2 linked regions of the Coturnix japonica genome follow. The protein of the gene in region 1 binds, or shares a complex with, the protein of each later gene. Links are inferred from orthologs where the notes say so. Each region holds a gene or a part of one and is shown in the gene's direction. Other genes may lie near its edges. The genes, in order: POLE2 and POLE4.

Region 1 (11,361 bases):
AGAGACTTGGGTTGAGGCAGAGCTCAGCGTGGGACGCGGCCTAGGACAACCACAGCAAAACTTGCTCATCTGGCTCCTGCCAGAAGCTGCAGCTGTGAAACACCAGCTGATAAAGAAGGACTGTGTGGGAGTTCAGACTGTTGACTGTAGAGAACTGTCCTGTGAGTGCTGCCATCTGACCTGTAAAGTAGGTGGAAGTAGAAGCTTCCGACCACAGGTGGTGGAGCACTGCAGGGGGGTCCCAGGGCTGCTGTGCATGACCTGTGTGCTGGGGTCACTGCTGAACCGAACCGAATGGAGCTGTGCTATAAGCTCAATGTAGACTCCAACTACATGTTTAAGTGGTCACAACCCATCATCCCATCAACGCCCAGGCCTTCCCGTTGGCTTGCCCTTGAGCAGCAAGCTGGGATACACATTCATTCCCATCCCAGCTCCTTCACTGTTCAGTCAGCAATCCAGTGAGAGTCAGCCAAAGAGTGGCTCCATTTGGAATGAATGGGATTTGACATAAATCAGGTACAGCTCTTCATCAGTGGTGTAGAATGTCTGAGAAACACGTATTTGAATGTTTGTAAAAGGACACAAAGTGAGACACGCATCAAGAAGGGAGGACGTTAACTGTTAATGATTGTTAACGTTTAAATGAATAAAAGAAACAATGAGGCACTGGGATGATGGTTAGGACACAGGAAGGAAACATTTGATGGAGTTAAGAAACACATCTGTAAGTCAAGTAGAGAGCTCTGATGTGGTCTCAGAAAGAAACCTTGGGCAGTGTGAAGCAGCTCCTAGGTTTTGCCATGGGATGGATGGGGCATCCACAGTCTCTCTGGGCAGCTGGTCCAGCACCTCACCACCCTATATGAAGAAGTTCCCAACCTAAACCTTCCCTCCTTGAGCTTAACTGATCATAAACCATCAGGCTGAGTCAGCTCTGTCCTCTCCAGCCACGTGTGCTGATACCATAGCACTCATGTCAAGAGTCATTGTGGACTGGAGGCCAAGAGCTGGGCCTGGCTTCCAGAGCACAAGGCAGATGGTTGAGGGAACAGAAATCCGCAGCTCACACTGGAATACTTTTATATCTCTGGTGGGAGGCTCCAGGCAACCGAACAGAACCCCAAGCACTGCAGGGAATTTCCCCCGTGTTCCTGGTTTGGACATGTATTTTAAAAGAAATTACTATTTCTTATGTTCAGAGAGGGCTGCCTTCCTTCTCTGGGTCAGACATTGGCAGCATTGGATTTTTCTTTAAGAAGAAAAGGTGGTAATCTTAGCAAATAGAAGAACTTACATAAGGGTTCATAATTCACACCTAGCTGAGCTGAAAAATGGATCGTGTTTCCTGCCAAAATAGCTGAGACCTGTCAGCTGGTAGTTTTATGTCTAAAGTGAGTAGATAGATTCAGCTTTGCCCATGAGCTTCCTCCAGATGAGGGGGATTGATTATAAATGATGCAGTTGAGAACGGACTACAGAAAATAAGCTGACATTTTCAATCTGGCTTTATATCCCTGCAGTGTTTTGATTGAGGATCTTTTCAGAGTTGCTTTCTGAGCCTTCTATGAAGCAAAGCTGTGCTTCAGCAGATGAGGCTGGGAGTATTTCGGTGAAATATCAGTCAATTTTTGGCTGGAGAGAAGGCAGCTGCCCCACAGGACTGGAACTGCAAGAGGTGCAGCGCATTTACTGTGCTCTGTGCTAGGACTTGCTATGCTGTGACAGACTAAAGATGCTCAATTCCCTGCCTGTGTGAAAAGTCAGTGGTGGGGGCATCTGTAGGATCACAGCATCACTCAGGTTGGAGCAGACCCCAGCCCCAGCCCACCCCGCTGTGCCCACTGCCCACATCCCTCAGTGCCACATCCCCACGGCTCTGGAGCACCTCCAGCACTGCTCTGTATGAGAAGAAAGCTTTCATCCAACCTGACTCGTCTTTACTGATGCTGGAGCATTGACAGTCACTGCTGTGGGGTGATGAACTAAAAACTGAGTGTAACTTATACAGCATGTGGGGCCAACTGACTTTTGTCTCAGTGAACATGTTTGGATGGGACAGATAATATGTCAGAGTGTAAGAAAACAGACCAGGCTCACGGTGTGCCCTTCCTGCTACAGAGCTCACAAGGCAGTGGGTAAAGGCGTTACTACAAGTAAGGCAGGCGGAGTTGGAGCCGGCCGGGCTGGAGCGGCGGAGCCGCAGCTGTACTCGCCATCCATGCCGTCCCGCGGCCTCCTCCCACCCGGGGCAGGGCCAGGGCTGTGGGGCGGCGCGGCGCTGCTGGGCGCCAAACGACAGCCATGGAGCCCGAGCGGCTGCGGCGCCGCCTGAGCTCCGCGTTCCGGGTGCGCGGGCTGCTGCTGCGGGCGTGAGTAGCGGGACGAGGGGAAGGCGGCGCGGGGCGAGTGTGGAGGCGGCTCCAGGCCTGGGCCCGGCTCGGCGGCTCCTCAGGCTGCCCGAACGCCTGCTGCCCTGCCATGGGCCTCTGCCATCCGCCTCCGCCCGCGGCGCGGGTCTAGGGAGCATCAAAAGCTGCTTAAAAGCTCTCCTTTATCCCCTCTCCGATCAGCTGATGCGCTGTTGGGTCGATACTTGTATTTCGCCTTTGAAGATCATGCATAGTGATAGCTCTGTTTTGTACCTGTTGTGAATAGATTGTGATTATTTTGGACGAGGTCCTGGCCATGGAATAATGAGTTTCATTAGGAGACCGAGCCCTGAGCCCACTGTTAAACAGCAATGAGAAGGTTGGGCCGTCAACTGAGGTGCCAGTTTGATTGTCTGGCAGATGATGTTAATAAGAAAATCGTTATCTTTAACTGCAAGTGTGTAGTCTGAGGATGAGGGAAGGAGTGGATTTGTAATTCTCATTGTGTGTGGCCATGTGTGGCACTGAGGGATGCGGCTTAATGGACACAGTGAGGATAGGTTGGGCTTAGAGGCCTTTTCCAACATGACTGATTCTGTGATTCTACAATAACTCCAGTATCAGAGCTGCTGATAAAGTGGAGTGTGTCCTGCAGATGGCAGCTGGGGCTAACATGGGCTTGCAGTACCTGAGGGGTGAGCCAGCCCTTGGGAAGGAAGGTGAAGGTGGTCCCAAAAGGTGCCCAAAAGGGACATGGGGAGTATGCACATCTACCAGAACCGACACCATTCAGATGAGCTTTACTGAACATGAATTGCTTTTTGGGCTGACTTTCTTTGTTGACATTAGGGAAGCTGTAAAATATCTCACTGAAACTCTTCGGTCCCTCAATGAAGAAGAGTTTGAAGATGTAATCGACAAAATCATCGATGCGGTTGAAAAACAGCCTTGTAAGTAAACACTGTTTTTTTCCTAAGCTTGCTACATTTATCTTGCACTTACAGTGTTATTCAGACAGGGGTAGTGACAACTTATGCTCTACAGTGTCACTGTGGTCTAGGAGGTTGATCAAGATTTGTTAACATTTTGTTTTGTTAAATACTGAAGTTTGTAGTGTCAGCAAAAGCTTCTTTGAAAAAACTCTTTGAGAGGGCAGATAACAGCAGGACAAGGGGAAATGGATTGAAGTTGAAAGAGGGAAGATTGAGGTTGGATGGCAGGGGGAAGTTCTTTATTGTGAGAGTGGTGAGGTGCTGGAACAGCTGCCCAGAGAGGCTGTGGATGCCCCGTCCATCCCTGGAGGTGTTCAAGGCCAGGTTGGATGGGGCCCTGGGCAGCCTGGGCTGGTATCAATGTGGAGGTTGGTGGCCCTGCCTGTGGTGGGGGGTTGGAGCTTCATGATCCTTGAGGTCCCTTCCAACCCAGGCCATTCTGTACAAGGTAGTGTCACTTTGTTATTTGAAAAGTTGGCAACTTGGTAGCTCCTGACTTTTGGATTCCAGGAGTATTGAAATTCTTCAATGCCAGCTACTAAGAGCTCCTAGCTGAGTTTGTGTGAGCATCTTTGCATCTGAAACTGTCATCTAAAATATTCAAATAAACCAAAGAAATAGCAAGAAGTTAATTCACTTGTTATTCCGTAGCCCAGGCCCAGAGAAATATTAGTGTTGTTGACAGCTGTAATTTTCAGAGCCTCGCTGTAACTGTGTCCTCAGGCACAGCATCCCTAATTATGGGCCACAGAACACAGGGGTTGTCACATCCTTACTTGAACGTGGCTGAGGGAGGTGGCACCGATGCCCCACACATGTGTGTGTTTAATGTTTTGAGCTCATGAGTACTAGGAAACCTGGCCAGTTTTTTGTGAGAGGAGATTCAGTCCCATGTAAATGAGACCTGGAATAAATGTTAGGCCTTGTAAGAGTTCAGGAAACATTTTCAGCCTCTCCTATTTAAAGTAGGTTAAATAAAATGTGTTCGTTGCTTGCTTGATCTATAGAGTAGCGACTACAGAAGTTACAACTTTATATTCTTACAGTAGCTATTGGAAAACACAGTCGTTCAGATTGGGATCTAAAGCAGTTTGAAGAGCTGGTCCTTACCTAGTGTGAAGCCTGCTGCTACAAATTACACCGTGCACATTTTTGAACAGTTCTGAATCAGTACAAGAAACTCCAGGGTCAGTGTAATACCTGTGGGTGGATTTGCTAACGCTGGCCTTTGTGCAAGGTGGGATTTTCACAGAATCACAGAATCACAGAATGACCCGGGTTGGAAGGGACCTCAAGGATCATGTAGTTCCAACCCCCTGCCTGGCAGGGCCATCAAACATCCACATTTACTAGATGAGGTTGCCCAGGGCCCCGTCCAACCTGGCCTTGAACACCTCCAAGGACGGGGCATCCACAACCTCCCTGGGCAGCCTGTTCCAGGGCCTCACCACTCTCCTAGTGAAGAACTTAGTAAAGAACAGCACCGACCAAGTCCTTTTGTGAATCCATGCCCTGGTGTCCTTCTCAAATTCAACGACACGTTTGTGTTTAGAAATGTTTTTGAATTTCAATTATCAGTTTAACATCTATGAAGGCAACAATGTGCCTGTCTCCAGGATTGTGCTAAGCTGTTTGAATACTTATTTATGACAGCAATCTGTGCAATAATGTTCTGGAATAAAATTAACCTCCAGAATGTGAAAGTTCTCATCTAACACATTTGTGGTGTATTTGGCAGCTTTGTATGAGCTATAATTGTCTTGCTCTCCACGTTTAGTGAATTAAGGGTGGGCACAATATGTGTGTAGGTTAGTTTTTCGCTAGAGAAGCATCCTACCAGTAAGAATACTAAGCGATCCATCCCGTGTGTTGTTACCTTTGTGAAAATACCCTTCTTTGTGTAATAGAGAAGACTCACCCATTTCTTGTAATATATTTCAGACCTCCTTGCTTTCTTACCACTCTCCTTATGCTGCCGTTTTAATCCATTGAACTTTTTTTTCCAGTGTCAAATAATATGATTGAACTGCCCACCGTGGAAGCAGCTGTCCAGGAATGTAGCCAGGCGATAGATGAAACAATGTACGGTGACATTATCTCTTTTTATTTGATCTTTGTGGGAGTTGGTTCACATTGCTTTATTTCTGATGGGGAAATAAATGCCAGGCGTTTCCAGCAGTGCTACACATGCCAGTAATTGCTTTGTGCTTTGTCTTCCTGATGCTGCCTTGGAAGGTTGGTAATGGTTCCTTCTTAGAAAATTGGTTCTCATGGATAGTCCTCTGGGGGATTCTAAATATAATGCTGACATTCTGGAATTAAAATGAGCTCGTTATGTGTTACATGTGACACAGATTGAATATTAACCGATGAAAGAAACCAATGGTTAGGATTTAGAGGGGACTCGTTAATTCTGTTCGTTTCTTTATTTCCTTTTCTCCAGATGAAAATTATATGAGGTTGTTTTTGTGACTTTCATAAGAGCACTTGGAAAAGTTTTCCTCCAGGGTGCTGCTTTCTGCTTTTTTTGTGTGTGTTTTTTGTTTTGTCTGGCAGGGCTGTTATTTGGAGAACCATGATTGATTTTCACTCTCTGATAACAAAGCAGAGAACAATTACTTGAGCTTCTGAGAGTTTTATTTGTGATTGTGATGAATGTGTTTTCTTCAGTGTTTGCCTCGTGTATTGACATCGTAATGCAAATCATGAAAACAGATGGTTTGTTAGGCATGGCAGATACTGTGATCCCACAGTTCCTCAGTGTGAAGCAAATTCATTTATTTTTGACTTTTCTCCCAGTCACTGGAACCTTAATAATGCTGACGGTTTCAAAGTGACTTTTTCTTATGTCACTTCATGTACTTAAATGCGTTTTTTGGTACTGGCTGCACAGGTTCTCACTGCAGAGTCCTGAAGGGAATACTTCACAGGTCACTTGTGCCTCTCAGACTTTAAATTACAATGAAGGAAGCTTGGGGATAAAGTTTCGTACGAAATAAACAGTATGAAGTCTGAGACACCCTTGTCTTATAGGCAGCGACTGTTGTCCTGTGCTTCAAAACCATAGTGAGGGTTCATGGAAAAATTTTCATCTCTTCTGATCAATTTGATGCTCTTAGGCTAAGAGAGTAATGGGAGAGAAGAACAGAACCAGTACATGTAATAGGAGCTATCAATCAACTCAGTCAATGGTTTGAAGTTTTGTGTTTGTTTAAACCTATTCACATAAAGCACACCAGGACTGTTCTGTTGACAGAAAAGGTACCAGAGGATAGTAATGGAAAAAGATGAATCTCTGTGATATTTCTAAGTAAAGCTCCTTTTGTTTTTTGCTTAGAAGGTGCTGAAGTAGCCAGTAGGTAAAGTGGAGCAGGAGATACAGTAGTAATGCAGGGTAATAGAGAACAAAGCCAATGCACTTCTCTTCCAAATGTTTGTTTAGTTATTTTCTCTCCTTATTGTTTGTTAGTTCCACCTCAGTTAATGCTGTAAATTCTCATTTCAGAGAAAATGTTTTCAACATTATTGGAGCCTTTGATATTCCACGCTACATTTATAATTCAGACAGAAAGAGATTTATACCGTAAGTCGTGCATGTTTTAAGCTTCAATTGCTTCTTGTTTTAAGAGAAAGCCTATATTTCTGTATGTCTAAGAAGTCTCTGTTCTCTTCTTTCCCTCTTGGGTTCACTCATCTCAAGCTCGTGTGAGAGAGTAAGATAATTTTGTTTCTCAAAGCCTGACTGACTCTACAGAGGCTGTGATAAATGCTGGCTCATTAATAAATGTGCCATTGGGTTTTCCCCACTAGGTAGGATGGAGCAGAAATGGCCATCTCTGTCTCTGTGGCAGTGCATTCTGTGCTGCCTGCGATCTGACTAGCTCTGAAACTGGAGTGTTCATCACACAATGTGCTAACCATGTTCATGCCATTTAAGGAATACAAGAGACAGGAAGGCTAAGGGCATACATCACTAACATAATGATTGCTTTTTTTCTTTCTGTATTTGGCTGATGGATCTTTTTCCCAATAAATTTGGTCTCTCTGTTGTCTGTATTTATTTTCTAGGCTGTAGCTTACAACGTCCTGAAGCTCTGGGGCGTTTCTAAAGAGACCTACAGTATGTTTAAAATAGAAAAAAATGGAGCGCACAGAGATCCCCCAGGATGGAAAAAGAAATAAGTAGTTGCAGGAATTGGTTACGAATGTTCTGCTAGAACATTTACATTTACTGAAGAATTTACATTAACAGCAAGCAGCCCTGACTGCTGAGCCCAATAGAGGCTTTACTTTTACAGCCGCTGCAGGTGTTGTTAGCTGAGAAATTGTTGGTGACGTTCATGGTGAGGCTTTGCAATGACCTTCATGTAATGTCATTTTCTAGTCCTGGTTCATGAATCTGTCGGTCAGCCACAACATTCTGTGTGTTTGCAGGAGGAGGTTGATTCCAGTGCCACTTTCTGGCTTTCTAGGCTATGAGAAGCAGAGCACTGCATGAAGACATTCTGTTCATCAAAGGGAAGAAACTGTACTTGCTCACAGTCACTTAATAGGCATAAGTGCTTTTAAAGGATGGACTTCTGCAGAGTCCTGATCACATGGAAATACAGGTCTTGAGGTCTGTGATGTAGAGGAAAATTAAATTGATATAGCCTTCAAAAACAGAAACACGGTGGCCCTAGCAGAAATCTTGCTCATTGCCTACATATATTATGCAGTAGTGTTACAGCTTTTGCAGACACCTTTTAAATCAATAAGTAATTTCTGTATGTGGAATGTACCTTTTTTAATCTTGATTTTGTTGAACTTCTTGCAGTCTATCAATGACCAACTTTCCTGTACCAAATTTATTTGGAACTGCCAGAGATAAAGCAGAGTTGTTTCGTGAACGCTACTCCATCTTACAACAGGTCAGAAACAGTTTTGCTTTGTTTAACAGAATACATGGACAAAATGCTTCTTCTTTTCTGCTGTTAAATACAGATATAGTCTTCTCAACTGATGCCATGCAGTGTGATGGATGCATGTGTTTGAGCATTTTAGCATTGTGTCATAAGAGCAGGTTATCTGTTTCTATATGTGCCTTCTTGTCTCTCCTGTGTTACTAGCCTGTCATTGTGCGTAGTGCTTGTTGAGATAATACAAACCTGAAATCCTGGGAAGCTCTCATTTGGCCTCTTCTTGAAGCATTGACGTTTGCTTCTGGCTTATTTCAGTTATTCATTTTCCAGTTTTCAGAATGCTCAGTAGGAGCCAGCTACCCTTTGTCATCTCATGGTGGCAATTGTGGCTTATCCCCAGTTGTGAGCAGCTCCTGAGCAGAACTCCCCAGCAGGGCTTACTTTGCACTGCTGTGGGGGTGGTAGCCACAGTTATTGGCAGCATCTGTAGGTGGTGGCCCTGTGCAGTCTGTGCACTCAGCTTGGAGTCAGCCTCTGGGCTCATCCCTGAGCAGGACCTCAGCTCAGTTCTTTCCTGCCATCCACTCTCCCCACACATTGGAGTGTAACCCCTCTGTGCTTTGCCCTGCAGTCTGGCATGAGCAGTATAAGATCAGGGAGTGAATGGCTGATGTGATGACTTGTTGTTTATGATGTGTCTGCTCTAACAGATGCGCAGCACAGATCATGCCTTGTGCTAGCAGGCTCCATGCAGCCCCAACCCCAGTGAACCACCAGGAGGCAGGCAGGCAGCGAGCCCAGCTTTTTGCTGTGCCACCCCACAGTGACTAGCTTGGCCTTTGGACCAGGGTTACATACCCCAGGGCACCAGCAACTCTGTCTTCCAAAGAGTGCTACTGCTGGGAGCCTCTGTCCTGGAAGGCCACTAGCTGAAGATTTAGTTCATGCAAACAGTATGTTAAGTTTTCTCCTTTGTGACCTCCAGAAAAGTGAACGTTCAAATAACGATGGGTGAAGGCTGCTAGTTTTAATTCCTGCATGTGGTACATGGGCTGGTAGCAATGGGTTTGTTCCAAGGAGAGATATTTAGACTGCATGAAGAACATTGAAAGAAGTGAAAATTTGCACAGTGCATTTTCTACGTGCTCTGCACTTTAGTTGTAGTGTAGCTTGCCCTTGTTTGTAAATGAAGACCTCAAACACAAAACAACAATAAAAAGTATTTGCTTTTATAATAGGCCCTGCCCTGAAGAAAGGACCCGCTCTCTTCCATATAGCCAGCAATCAATACAGTTTACCTTCCCTTGCTGTCTCACTGTTTTCCTGCAGGTAGTCAGAAAGAACTTCTAAAGCTATTACACATGCATCTACTTTTTGGGCTTAGTTTTATAGTCCAGTGTGAGTCTATTTCTTAGAAGCAAATTACTGTCAACACAACTGGTTGTGCGAAAACAAGTCAAATGTTTCTGGATGAAATAGAGTGAGAGAACTTCATAAATTATTTTGTATGGTGCTTGTAAATGAACCTTTTGACAGCACTGCTTTTTTTAAAACTATATTACTTCAATTTTGGTTTGTGCAGAGGACTCACAGACATGAGCTGTTCACACCTGCAGCAGTTGTCGTTCATCCTGACGACAGTAGGAGCAAATTCCAGGTAAAAAGTCTTTCTTTATTTCTTGCAGAGGGAACTGTTCTTGGTGCTACACTTTAATGCAGCAGCACTCCTCCTGTGACACATTATTTCTTCCATCCAATATGGGTGATCAATGAAAATGAGTATTTTTTTCTATCATTTTTAGCTGGTGTGTCAAAATGGCAGTTATGTGGCTTACATCAGCATGATGACCAAGCTGCTTAAAAACAGCTATGAAGTGTACGAGAAATGTGGCTTCCCAATGTGGAAATACATTAACTGCTCAGCTTTACACTTCTTTTCCCTTTACTTGAGAATATTTTTCTCGTTTCTTTCATAAGCACCAGGTTCACAAACCTCCACTTGAATAAGTTCACAATCTGAGTCTGTTCTGTTTCCATTTCAGTTTTTGAATATTGAATGCTGTTCTGATATTACATTATTATTATGTGTTTTTAAAAAAAACAGGCATATGTGTGTCTGTGGGTACCAAATAACAGGTTTTGTTTTGAGCACCGTGCCTGTTCCTGCTTGTTCAGAGTGTGCCATCTTGTAGGGAAAAAAAACAAGTGGCCTTAGCTGAGTCGAGCTTGCATCTCCACACAGCCTCTGTAGGCATCTTTCTCTTTTGACAGCTTCCTATTCTCCTGTCAGCAGTGGCAAGAGCATCATTGTTTATGCTGGTGTTCTGGGAGGATCGTCTCCCTTAACTGCAGCTTGGCAGACCAAAATGAGTTTGTCCGGAGAACGCAGACAGCCTGCTGTGTGGTATCACTGCTGTTACTCAGGGCTATTCTCTGTCATCCATCTGAGGTTCCTCAGCAAAAATAATTGATGTTACTGCCTGGCTGGAGGCTGGCCCTGTGGTTCACATCGGATCCTGCTGAAGATCCAGTTACTACAATTGAAATTCATATGCAAGAGCAGAAATTGCCACTTACTCTTTTCAGTTTTAATGTTTTTGTAAGCAAAATAGCAACAACAAATATTTACTTGCTAAGCACTTCTTGGTGCTACATTTGACATTCAGAAATGTGTCCCTGATTTTCTAATGAACCTGAATTCTGTCTTAGCTTGTTTGTGTATTTATGCAAGAATATGTGTGTGTGCTGTGTGATACTTTGTCTTGCTTGCTTCAAAAAAGCTGCTTTGGAGACTTGGAGTTAGTCTGACATGATTCTTTGCCTTTGGTTCCAGCTTAAAACAGTAGAAAGTCTGTTGGGCAATACAACGAAAGTGAGGGAAGTGATTGTCCTTGGGATGATAACTCAGCTCAAGGAGGTAAGTTGCTATTTACTGTGGACTGTACAGATCATCAGTCATTCAGCACTAGAATATATTAGAAAATGAGGAGGCTCAGTCAGCACCTTACCCTCCTGTATAAGCTGATGATGGAGCTGCCATCAGTGTCTATGGTGAAAGACTCATTCCTTAAAAAGAGGTTAACATTTTCTGGGTGT
Region 2 (10,565 bases), on another chromosome or scaffold:
GGTTAACCCTTCCCTGCTGCCCGCACCCCGCGGGGCCGCGTCCACATGGAGCGCGGATGGAGCGAGGATGGAGCGAGGATGGAACGAGGATGGAGCGAGGATGGAGCGAGGATGGAGCGAGGATGGAGTGAGGATGGAGTGAGGATGGAGTGAGGATGGAGTGGGGATGGAGCTCCGTTCCCAGCCCCGAAGGATCCGTTCCCGGACCCGGAGGCGTCATTCAGGCACTGAATCCATCCCCGTCCCAAAGAACCCAACCAAACACCACAGAGACCAGACAAATCAGCGCCACGTTTCACACCAATCAAACAAAGCGCCGCGGGCTCCATCTGAACCACCCTCCCAAACCTCTGCGCTGCAGGACCGGCCCTCGCAGCCCCTCCAGCATCGGAGCTTCAGCCCTCAGGGTCCGGTGGTGCTTCGGGTCGGTCACTCTGCCGGTGGGAACGTTGACCCATCAGCACCGCAGTGATGCAGCCGCTCCCATTTGGGCTGCACAGCGCTCAGCGGGGCTCCGTGGGGGACTCGAGGGACGTGGGGGGCTCTGCTGCTCTGCTTGGGGCACGTGGGACCGGCAGGGCTTTACTCACACCTACCGCACAGATCAACATCATCGTAGATGTCCGTGTCCCTGTGGGGGAAAAGCTGTGAGTGCTCCAGGACCCCGCAGCCCCCACCGCGACGGGGCAGCCCTGCCCCATCTCTGCCCCATCTCTGCCCCTTGTGCCCCCCCGGGCAGCTCCTCCGCAGAGCTGGGACACCAGGTTGTCCTCAGAAGGGGCCACATCTCCCTGCGGCCGCTGTTGGTGCCGGGAGGAAGGGCTGGGGAAGGAGATACTCACAGATGCAGCATCGCAGCGCGGGGCACGTAACCGTCTGCAATAGAGTGGGGAGAAGCATTGGGGGGGGGGGAGGCTGGGAGGGAGCAGAGCAGCTCCAGGGATGGAGCTGGGATCCCTCAGGAGCGATGCTTTGTGTGGGGCAGCGGCCGACTTACATCTCCGCTGGCTGTTCCTGCAGAGAATCTGCTCCTTGTTGGTGAACTGAATGACATCGAGGATCTCACCCCGTCTGAGCGGGAGGTTCTTACCCCCTCCCCTCTTCTCCGTCGTTGCGGGGTCGACCATCATCCGGGTCAGGACGGTGATGTTCCCTTCGAACTGAGACACGAGCAGAGTTTGGCTGCCTGAGCTCCAACTGCCTCCTCTATGGGGCAGCACGGCGCTGAGGGCTCGGTCTGCCCTGGGGGAGCCTCGATGGGGCGGCCGGCTGGGCACCAGCTGCTCTTGGAGCACGCAGCCCCTCTGCACAGCGAGGGGGAGCTGGGAAGGAAAAGCTCCTGGCTGCTCACCTTGAATTTCTTCTGAAACTCCCGGTCTGCTTTCTCTTCCTTCTTGCATTCCTTGAGTGTCATTGGCTTTGCCTTCCAGGAGCTCTGAGCTCCTCTGCAGAGACGTTGTGAGTGCTGGGAAGGTTTGGCTCCTCCCGCTGCCCCCCTGGTGCCCTGGCCCAGAGGTTCTCACCCCCCTCATTACCTTTGTGCAGCAACCAGCAGCGCGACCGTGCTGGGGGCCTGAGCAGCACCTCCCCCTGTAAAACCAAGCATGGAGAGGGCTACGCAGGGTGGTGGGGGCTGAGAGCATCACTTCCCATGGCCTCCAGGGTGCCCACACACCCTGAGTGCATCTGCACCCCTTAGACAAGCAGGGCTGGTGTCACAGGCCCCACCGGGCAGTGGGGGCACCTCGTCCCCCCCGCCCCACACCCCCCTTTGCCCCCACCTCCTCTGGGCTGCAGATGCGTTGGCGGCCGGAATGTGGGGGGCGGCGGGAAGCTTCGGTCTCTCCCGAGCAGCTCAACGCTCTCAACGTCATCGTAGATCTCCTCCCCACCGCTGGGATGGAGCAGAGCACCGTCAGGGAGCCCAGGATGGAGTGTGCACCGCCGGGGGAGCATCACGGGGGTCCCGGCCCACCCCCCACCATCCCACTTCATGCTTTTCCCACTCGGTCAGAGACCCCCGAAATAAAAGTCCCTCCCCGGTACTGACCCTGCTGCGCTCTGAGCGTCCCGCGGTGGGAGCTGCGTTGTGTGACCTGGGGGCAGAGGGAGCAACCACAGGTTGCACTGGTCCAGCGAGGGACCAGAAGGCAGCCGGGTGTGCGGCCCCCCATCCCCACCCTGTACCCATCCCCATCCCCACCCTGTACCCATCCCCATCCCCACCCCGTACCCAGCACAGCGCTCCGTGGCCCCGCAGCGGCCCGGCCGGGCTCCCCGTGGGGTGCAGCCCGATGGAACTTCTTCAGATCCACCCCCGGAGGCCGCCGTGGCTTTGCCGGCCTCGCTCCCAGCAGCGCAGCGTGAGGCAGCGGCTTCCTGCGCGGGGGGTGCCCCGAGCCCCGGATTCCACCGGCAGCGGCTGCGCCCGCGGCGGGGAGCGACGGAGCGGCCGCGTCATTGAGCGGCGGCCATTTGTGCGGGGGTTGGTTCCTCGGGGGGGGGCGGGAGGCGGCTCCGAGCCCCTTGTTGTCCGCGTCCCGTCCTCCCGGTTTGGCAGCCGGGGGGTGGGAGGCGGCGCTCGGAGCGATGCCCTTCTTCAGCCGCTCCATCCACTCCGGGCTCTGGGGGGCGGGCGTCGGACGGGAGCCGGGACCCTCGATGTGAGCTTTGCCGCGGGGCGCAGCGGTTCTGCTGAGGCCCATCGTCCCGGCGAGGGGGGACGAGGGGGGCGGTTCGCCCTTGGAGCCCGACGCGGGCGCCCGTCCCGTCACCGTCGCGAGGAAAACTGCGGGGGGACCCCGCGCCCGCCCGGTCGCTGCGGGAGGTTTCACGCCGTCCTTCAGCTTCGCTCGCAGGTGTCGCCCCGCCGCCTCTTTACCGTCCGGGTGCTCCTGCGGGACCGAGGGAAGCTCCGGTTCAGCCGTTACGGAGGAAAACTGAGCCCGTGCCCCGCGGGGAACGCGACCGCTGAGCCCCGACGGCGCTGCCGGAACACGCTGCGCTGAGGGCAAAAAAAAACCCAAACCAACAACAGAAGAAAAGAGGCCGAGAGGCGGCGGATCTGCCCCAATTCTGTGACCGGAGCGTTTCCTGCCGCTCACCCCGCGATGGGGGCACGGAACTGGGGCGCGCGGCCGCAGCGCGGGGCTGTGCCACGATCCCGGCTCGGATCCGCGCAGGGCGAGCTGCGCTTCTCCCCTCCGGCTCCTCTCCCCACCCAACCTCTCCCTCTCCCCCTTACCCCCCCCCCCCATCGCGTCTCTCTCTCTTTAGTTCTCCTCCTCCCGGGATTTCGGTTCGTTTTGCTCTTGCATCACTTTGTTTTCTTTCACAACAGAACGGCCGGAGCGCAGAGAATCCAGCGCGACATTTTCAGCCGCGGGATCTCAAATGTGGGGCATTAAATAATGTGAAATTGGTGTTAAAAAGGGGCAGGTGCCCCCTGGTCCCGGGGCAGAACCCACGGGGGCTCAGCAGCGCACGTTGCCCACGTTCTGCACGGACGGCAGCGAAAAAACGGTGGAAAATGGGATTTGTGCTCGGAGGGCACCGAGGGCTCCAGCTGGGACCCGTCCCGGTGTTTGTGGCCGCTCCGTGAGCCGGGACGCGGAGCTGCCCGCGATGGCGCCGTCGGGGCAACGGCGCCGCTGTCACTGCGACCTGAGCAGCGTCTGGCACCGCGATGCTTTGTCCTGTCTGAGCCCACCCGGTGCTGACCCATCCCGGGAGCTGCTCGGGGGGCTCCGGAGCTGCCACTGCCCCCAGCCCGGTGCGGCTGTGACGATGTGCGGGTGCGGGTCGGACCATTCGCGCTCACCATTTCCCATCCACGGACGCGTCCTATGGGCTCTCCTCCCTCCTGAGAACCGTGCGGGCCGTCCGAGCCGAAGGAGCCGAAGGAGCCGAAGGAGTTGAAGGAGCTGAAGGGGCTGAAGGGGCTGCAGGAGCTGCAGGAGCTGCAGGAGCTCAGCCCGCCCGGCACTGAAAGCAGAAGCTGTTTCCTAACGTTGTGTTGGTGCGGGGCTGCGCGCAACGCCAGGAAGCGGCTGCGGCCTGAATGTGAGAGTGGGGGGGGGGGGAGGAGATGCTGCTGCCCCGTCCAGGAACCGACGTGGGCTCAGGGAGCGACCCCGGGCCGCAGCATCGGCACAGGAGGGATCGGGCCGGGGGGGAACGGGCTGAGCGGAGCCCCGTCCGTGTCCGTGGGTGATGGGGGGTTATGGGGACTGCGGGGCTGCGTTTGGGGCACAGGGGGGCGGAGAGCCGAATTTGGGGCACAGAGCGGAAGTTTGGGGCACAGCGGGGCCGGAGGGCGGGATGTGGGGCACAGAGCGGGTGGGGGGCGAGTTCGGGGGCGGCGGGAGGACGGAGAACCCGGCCGGGGATGCGGGAGGGGCCCGGTCCCGTGCGGGGCGCCCGGCTCCGCGGCACAGACAGACACAGCGCCCCCCAGCGGCACAGACAGACACAGCGCCCCCCAGCGGCACAGACAGACACAGCGCCCCCCAGCGGCACAGAGACACAGCGCCCCCCAGCGGCACAGAGACACAGCGCCCCCCAGCGGCACACAGCGATGACAGCCGGCGCTCCGCTCCGCCCCGCAGGCAGCACTCACTGCGCATGCGCGTTGCGGGATGGCGGCGGCGGCGGGGCCGGAGGCGGCGGCGGAAGATGCGGGAGGAGCGGGACCGGGAGCGGGACCCGGAGCGGCGCGTGGTGCCAGGCTGCCGCTGTCACGGGTGAAGGCGCTGGTGAAGGCGGACCCGGACGTCAGCCTGGCCAGCCACGAGGCCGTGTTCGTGCTGGCGCGGGCCGCGGTGAGCGGCGGGGGCGGGCGGGGCAACGCGGGGCAGTGCGGGGTAATGCGGGGCAGCCTCCGGTCCGTGCCGTTCTGTCCCGGTCTGTCCCGTTCCGTCCCGTTCCGTCCGTGTGACGCTCGTGCTCGCCCCGCAGGAGCTGTTCGTGGAGAACATCGCTAAGGACGCGTTTGTGTTCGCCCAGCAGGGGAAGAGGAAAACGCTGCAGAGGAAGGACCTGGGTACGGGGCGGAACCGGGGGGGGGGGTCCGAAGAGAAGAGAAACGTCCCAGCTCTTCCCGGTTGGCCCTTCTGTCTGTGTCGGCACTGAGCCCTTTTCCCTTTGCAGATAACGCCATTGAGGCTGTTGATGAGTTCGCTTTTCTGGAGGGTGAGTTTCGGTTTCCCCCATTAGTCCATAATCCCTTTCAAAGCAGCCCCGCATCCTCCTATATCCCTCCTATATCCCTCCTATATCCCTCCTATATCCTTCCTGTATCCCTCCTGCAGCCCCATGGTCTCACTATCTGGGTCTGTATCTGGGCCTTCCAGCCCCACACCCCACTTATAGCCCCCCCTATAACCCTACAGCCTCCTATAGCCCCCCCCACTGCTCCCTGTAGCCACATATTCCTCTATATCCCTGGTACAGCCCCCCATAGCCCCATGCCCCCCTGTTTCCCCCCCATACTCCCTTTATCTGGGCCTTTTAGCCCCACATCCCCATATAGCCCCCTCCATAGACCCACAGCTCCCTATAAACCCGAGTTCCAGCTGTTCTTGTAGCTGTGTTTCATTTTCCTTTCTGGTCCCTGAGGCTGCTTTGCTTCATCGTTGTTTTTGTTTCCAGGCACTTTGGACTGAGCTGCTCAGCAATGGGGTTCTGTGCAGATGGGTCGGCCGGCACCGGCTGCACTTCCCAGCAGTGGGACACCAATGTGGGCAGCCGCGGTGCTTTGTGTAACGACTGAGTGTCTGTAAGATCTTTGTTGAAAGCTTTTGTTGTAAGTATTTTGTAGGACTCTGACCTCCTTGTTCTGCTGCTGCTCCCCAGCCCTGCCCCCCCCCCAGGCACCATGGAGCAGAGCTGAGCTCCCGAGGCAGCTCCCTGTTGGTTTATCCCACCTGCTGGTCTGTAGATACATTATTGAAGTGGATGTTTTGGTCTCTGTGTGTTTTGTTGGGTTCCTTTTTGGCCAGTGCAATTAAAGGCGGAGCTGTTTTGAGTGGCTGTTCTGAGTGATGCTGCTCTGTGCTGCTCTGCTGTTCCTGTGGCACAGATGCAGTTTGGAAGGGATGCTCCGCTCCAGGCACACAGATGAGCTGCAGAGAGGCTCGTGTTGCTGTTAGGGCTGCATGGCTCCATCAAGTTCTGCGATGGTCACAGCTGGACAGTAATAAATCCCTGCTTTTGAAGGCGTTGCCTGCCGTGTTTCACTGCTCTTCTCCTTTGCTCTCATTGCTGAACCTGGCCCTTCTCCTGTGCGTGGATCTGCTGGGCTGTGCTGCAGCCCTCCCTGCCCTTGCCAAAGCACAGCGTGTGGCCCATGAGCTGTCCTGCTTTGGGCAGAGCTGCACGGTGCCTTCCTTGCCAGCAGGTTCCTTTTGCTGCCCTCGGGGCTGATTCAGGCCCATTGAGCACAGGGCCCATAGGGGTGCCTGGTTTTGTGTCTGATCTCTCCCTGCTGTGCTTTGCTGGGCAGCATCGCCTGCTCACAGCAGGTCAATCAGGGTTTGTCTTTGGGCTGAGCCCACGAGCAGAGGCTCAGGGATGCTGTGGGGTGTCCTGACAGGACAAAATGGGTCCCTTTGTTCACCGTGGGTCTGTGGCCTTTGGGAGCAGCTCTGGATTCAGTTACACATGCAGCTGTAAAGTGTTGGCCACTAAAGTGGTGCCAAAGTCACTTAGAGATGAGAACTGCAGCCTCAGTTGTCCCAGACAGAGCAAAACCTGCTGGGCTGAAGCAGAGCGGGGCCCTTCGGTGCTGCACTGAGTCAGAGGGAATGGAATGGCTGGTGGCATCCACCCCATGGGGGTCTGCAGGGACACACGGGCAGCCTCAAGTGCTCATTTCCAGGGCTGGGAGAATCCGTGCACCCCACAGGTGTGACAGGAAGGTGCAGTTGTCCCCGGGGTGGCTGATGGTGCCTCATTGGGTGATAACGGCCCAGCTGGGAAATGCCGACTGACCCCCCCCCCCTTCAGCTGGGTTTCCCTTTGCCCCAGGGCCACTTTCCTCCTGCATTTCTGCTGTCCAAGATGAATGTTTGCTGCTGGCACAGGAGGAGGGGGGCTCTGGGGGAGGCTGTTACCATTCTCTGCCTGCACATTGCTTGGAAACCAGCATGAGTTGGTCACAGCATGGAGAGCTGTGGGATGAAGGAGCAATACCTGCCCACAGCAGCCTGGGCTGTGCTGCTCTTGGGGGGGTCTGCCCTTTATTGCCCCTCAGCCATGAGGGATCGTGATTAAAACATCCCCCATTCCAGCAGTCCGGGGCTCTCATAAGGAGTCACCATCCGTACTTGAAAGCAGCCGACAGCCTTCAATGGGGATGGGGGATTCTTTCCAAAGCCAAGTGAGGGAGCTGAGAGGGGTTTATTTGGGAAACAGTTGTGGTGGTTGGATGCTGCATCCCCAAAACCTCCTTGGTTGGGTCTGCCTGCCCTGGGCTGTGTATTGGGGCCGTCCCCCGGGGTGTCCCCAGCGTGGTGCTGAGGGGGATCTTCGTGCCTTTGTGTTGCAAATCTGTGCAGGAAATTGAGGTGGGAAGGAGCTGGGGCCGCTGCTCCTCGGGGGATCCCGCCTGCTTAGGTAAGCACAGCTGCCGGCTGCCCCAGCCCACCGCCCTGCAGTGATGCCCTGCAGCTCCTGGGCTGATTCTGGGGGTAACAGCTGAGCGGATTCAGGGCAGCACCCTCTGCTTTGGCTGCATCCATCCCTGCAGTGGAGTGGGCTGCAGAATAACCCGATGGAGCTGCCGGTGCCATCCCCTGCCCGCAGTGCCATCGGAGCCCGTGGGGTGGGATGGGGACAGGAGAGGGATGCTCTGCTGGTTGGTTCAGGCCGGGAGGGGGCAGATCAACCCCCAAAGGCAGAAATCCCAGCTCTGCGTGGGCACTTTGAGCTCCACTGGGAGGAAGGGACAGACCCTTGGGTGAGGAAGGCAGAGCTGGGCACAGGGGATGGGGGACATCCAGCCCTGTACAGAAGTGGGCAGGGGTGGCCGTCCAGCAGTGCGGCGGGGGGGGGTTCATCAGGTGGGGCCACTGTGAGACCCCTGCCAGACTGTCTGTGCTGTATGTAAATGGCAGAAGGTGGCTTTTATCAATGAGAGCCGCTGGTTTCAATGAGAGCAGCACTCGTTGGAAATGAACCCTCTGCAAAATGCTTGGCAGCTTGTAAGGTAAACATTGCAGGCAATTGGCAGCTCTGCCCCAACGTCCCGGGATGCTGCCCTGCACGTGTGGTGTCTGGCAGCTGCTCTGTGCACAGCATGGGCAGAATGTGGGCAGGAGGGGAATGGGGGGGTGGGCACCTCGGGGCTGTGTGGGGAGCAGCCCTGGTCCTATGGGATGCTGGCGGGCAGGGAAGGGGAAGGAAAGGATGTGAAGAGTTTCCTCTGCCAATTAACCCCAGCCTGTGGTCACCTCTCTGTGTATTCTGGATAATTAATGGCCCTTTCACCATTGGAATGTGGGGTTGGGGTAGAGGACAGATGGCAGCTGGCCGTGCAGCTCGGGGTGCACTGTGTGGATGTGCACAAGCAAGAGGTGGGCTCTGATCCCAGCACAGAGACCCTACAGCCACGAACTGCATGGGAACAGGAGGGGATGCGGCCCGGTCCAGCCTGGCTGCGGTTGTTCCTGTTGGTCCCATTAGTGCTGTCATTAAAATCCAGTTAATCTCCTATGCAAAGCAAAGGCAGTCAGGGCAGCCTTGCAGAGGGGCACAGCTGGACCCTTGTCCTTGTCCCCCAGCCCTCCCCTCCCGTTGTGTACTGGGGCTAATTGGTGCAGGGTGCCCGTCTTTGCACCTTGTTAGCATGGCTATTAGCTCTCTTTACCCTCCTGATTGCCCATGTGCATATTTGACTCCAATCCATCTTTCCAGCCAGTTATAAATGCTGGGCTGGGGTTGCAGAGGGGAGTCTGGCTGGGGCTGGGACACAGAGCCATGCTGGGCGCTGTGCTGCTGCTGCTGGCCTTGGCACGGCCGGCGTCCCCGGAGAGCCGCAGGGCTGAGGCTCTCAAGAAGCTGCTGGAAGTGTTTGGCATGGAGGACCCCCCGCCGCCCCCAGCCCACGTCAAACAGCCGCCGCAGTACATGGTGGATCTGTTCAACGCGGTGGCCAACGCCGACGGCGTCACCAAAAACCCCGACGTCCTGGAGGGCAACACGGTCCGCAGCTTCCTGGATAGAAGTAAGGGGGGGGGTCCCTGCGGTGCTGGGGATGGGGGCTGTGGGATGGGGCCGTTTGGTCTCACTTCCCAACCTGTCCCTCCCTGCAGCTCACAGCGAGAAGATGCGGTTCCTCTTTGTGCTCTCCAGCGTGGCCAAGAACGAGAAGATCCTGACGGCGGAGCTGCACCTCTTCCGTCTGTGGCCGAGAGCCACTGAGGGGCCCAGGAGGCACCACTTCTGTCAGGTGAGCCCCAAAAGACCAGGTGAGGGGGTTGGGGTGCGGATGGGGGCAGGGATGTGCCCAGCTGTGCCCAGCAGTGAAGTGCCGCTGCTTTCTCCCTGTATCCATCCTTCCCCCCCCCCCATATCCTCTTCCTCCCCCCAGGCCATGGCTGCTCACCGCCCTTTGCCTCCATCCCCAGGTCAGCGTGTACCAAATCCTGGACAAGACTGAGCCGGACTCCCCCGAAGGACAGAAGCTGCTGGCATCCAGGCTGCTCTCACTGCAGGGCTCGGGCTGGGAGGTCTTTGCCATCACGCAGGCTGTGAGTGCCCCCACAGTGTGTATATGGATGGCACGGAGGGAAGAAATGGCCTTTTTGCACCTGAGAACCTTTTTAACCCATTTCACTCCATTCTGGGCCAGTGGTGCCTGCCTGAGGTCGGGGCGTGCAGCCTGTAGGGAGGGGTGGGGGTGGGTGGGTGCCCCATTGCGGTGCTGCTGCTGTCCGATCGCCCACCCTGCCACGTCCTGGGCACATGGGGACACAGCTGCAGCTCCAACCCTGTGGTGACTCTATGTTTGCTTCCGCAGGTTCGGGATTGGACCCAGGATGAGAGCAGCAACCGAGGTTTGCTGGTGACGGTCCATGGTCTGGGTGGGAGCCCACTCGAGGCCCCCACCGTGCAGTTTGCATCCAGCGGGGACCACCATGAGAGCAAGAAGCCCATGCTGGTCCTGTTCACAGATGATGGGCGCCGAGGAGCATCCCTGCCCATGGCCGGAGTGCCAGGTGGGTGCAGCACAGATGGGGCCGTGCCCAGGTCCCTGCCTGAAGGCTCCAGCTCAGAGCTGAGCCCGTGCTGATGACCACCGTGGGGCTGCAGAGCTGTCACCTCCCAGTATCTGCAGTGACTGCACAAGGGGTGGCTCCGCTCTCTGCCCTTCCTCTCAGGCTCATGCTCTCACTAACAGAACGGTTCTTATCTCTGGCAGCCTCCCAGCCTCGGGATTTCCCTGCCAAGCTGACCGGCCCACGCAGCGCTCGCTCTGTGGACCGACTGCAGCCCTGCCAGAGGCACCCCCTGTCCGTGGACTTCGAGGAGATCGGCTGGTCGGGGTGGATCATCTCACCCCGGGG

The links.
Region 2: POLE2 (region 1) and POLE4 share a complex: the UniProt entries of both Homo sapiens proteins name them as parts of the DNA polymerase epsilon complex. The link is inferred for Coturnix japonica from reciprocal best matches to the Homo sapiens genes POLE2 and POLE4.

What each region holds. Positions count from the first base shown.
Region 1 is NC_029520.1:52,274,073-52,285,433, reverse strand, and holds the start of POLE2 (DNA polymerase epsilon subunit 2), read left to right. Parts: upstream 1-2,202; 5' UTR 2,203-2,304; coding exon 2,305-2,372; intron 2,373-3,221; coding exon 3,222-3,322; intron 3,323-5,370; coding exon 5,371-5,446; intron 5,447-6,869; coding exon 6,870-6,947; intron 6,948-8,180; coding exon 8,181-8,274; intron 8,275-9,847; coding exon 9,848-9,922; intron 9,923-11,098; coding exon 11,099-11,182; intron 11,183-11,361. UniProt on the Homo sapiens protein: Accessory component of the DNA polymerase epsilon complex. Participates in DNA repair and in chromosomal DNA replication.
Region 2 is NC_029543.1:369,893-380,457, reverse strand, and holds POLE4 (DNA polymerase epsilon subunit 4), read left to right. Parts: upstream 1-4,620; 5' UTR 4,621-4,637; coding exon 4,638-4,820; intron 4,821-4,956; coding exon 4,957-5,041; intron 5,042-5,148; coding exon 5,149-5,190; intron 5,191-5,649; coding exon 5,650-5,663; 3' UTR 5,664-6,215; downstream 6,216-10,565. Other genes in the region: PRAM1 (PML-RARA-regulated adapter molecule 1), read right to left, coding at 430-434, 597-631, 843-876, 998-1,160, 1,352-1,445, 1,536-1,590, 1,782-1,894, 2,051-2,096 and 2 more; bone morphogenetic protein 2-like, read left to right, coding at 8,881-9,223, 9,312-9,448, 9,627-9,749, 10,019-10,217, 10,421-10,565. UniProt on the Homo sapiens protein: Accessory component of the DNA polymerase epsilon complex. Participates in DNA repair and in chromosomal DNA replication.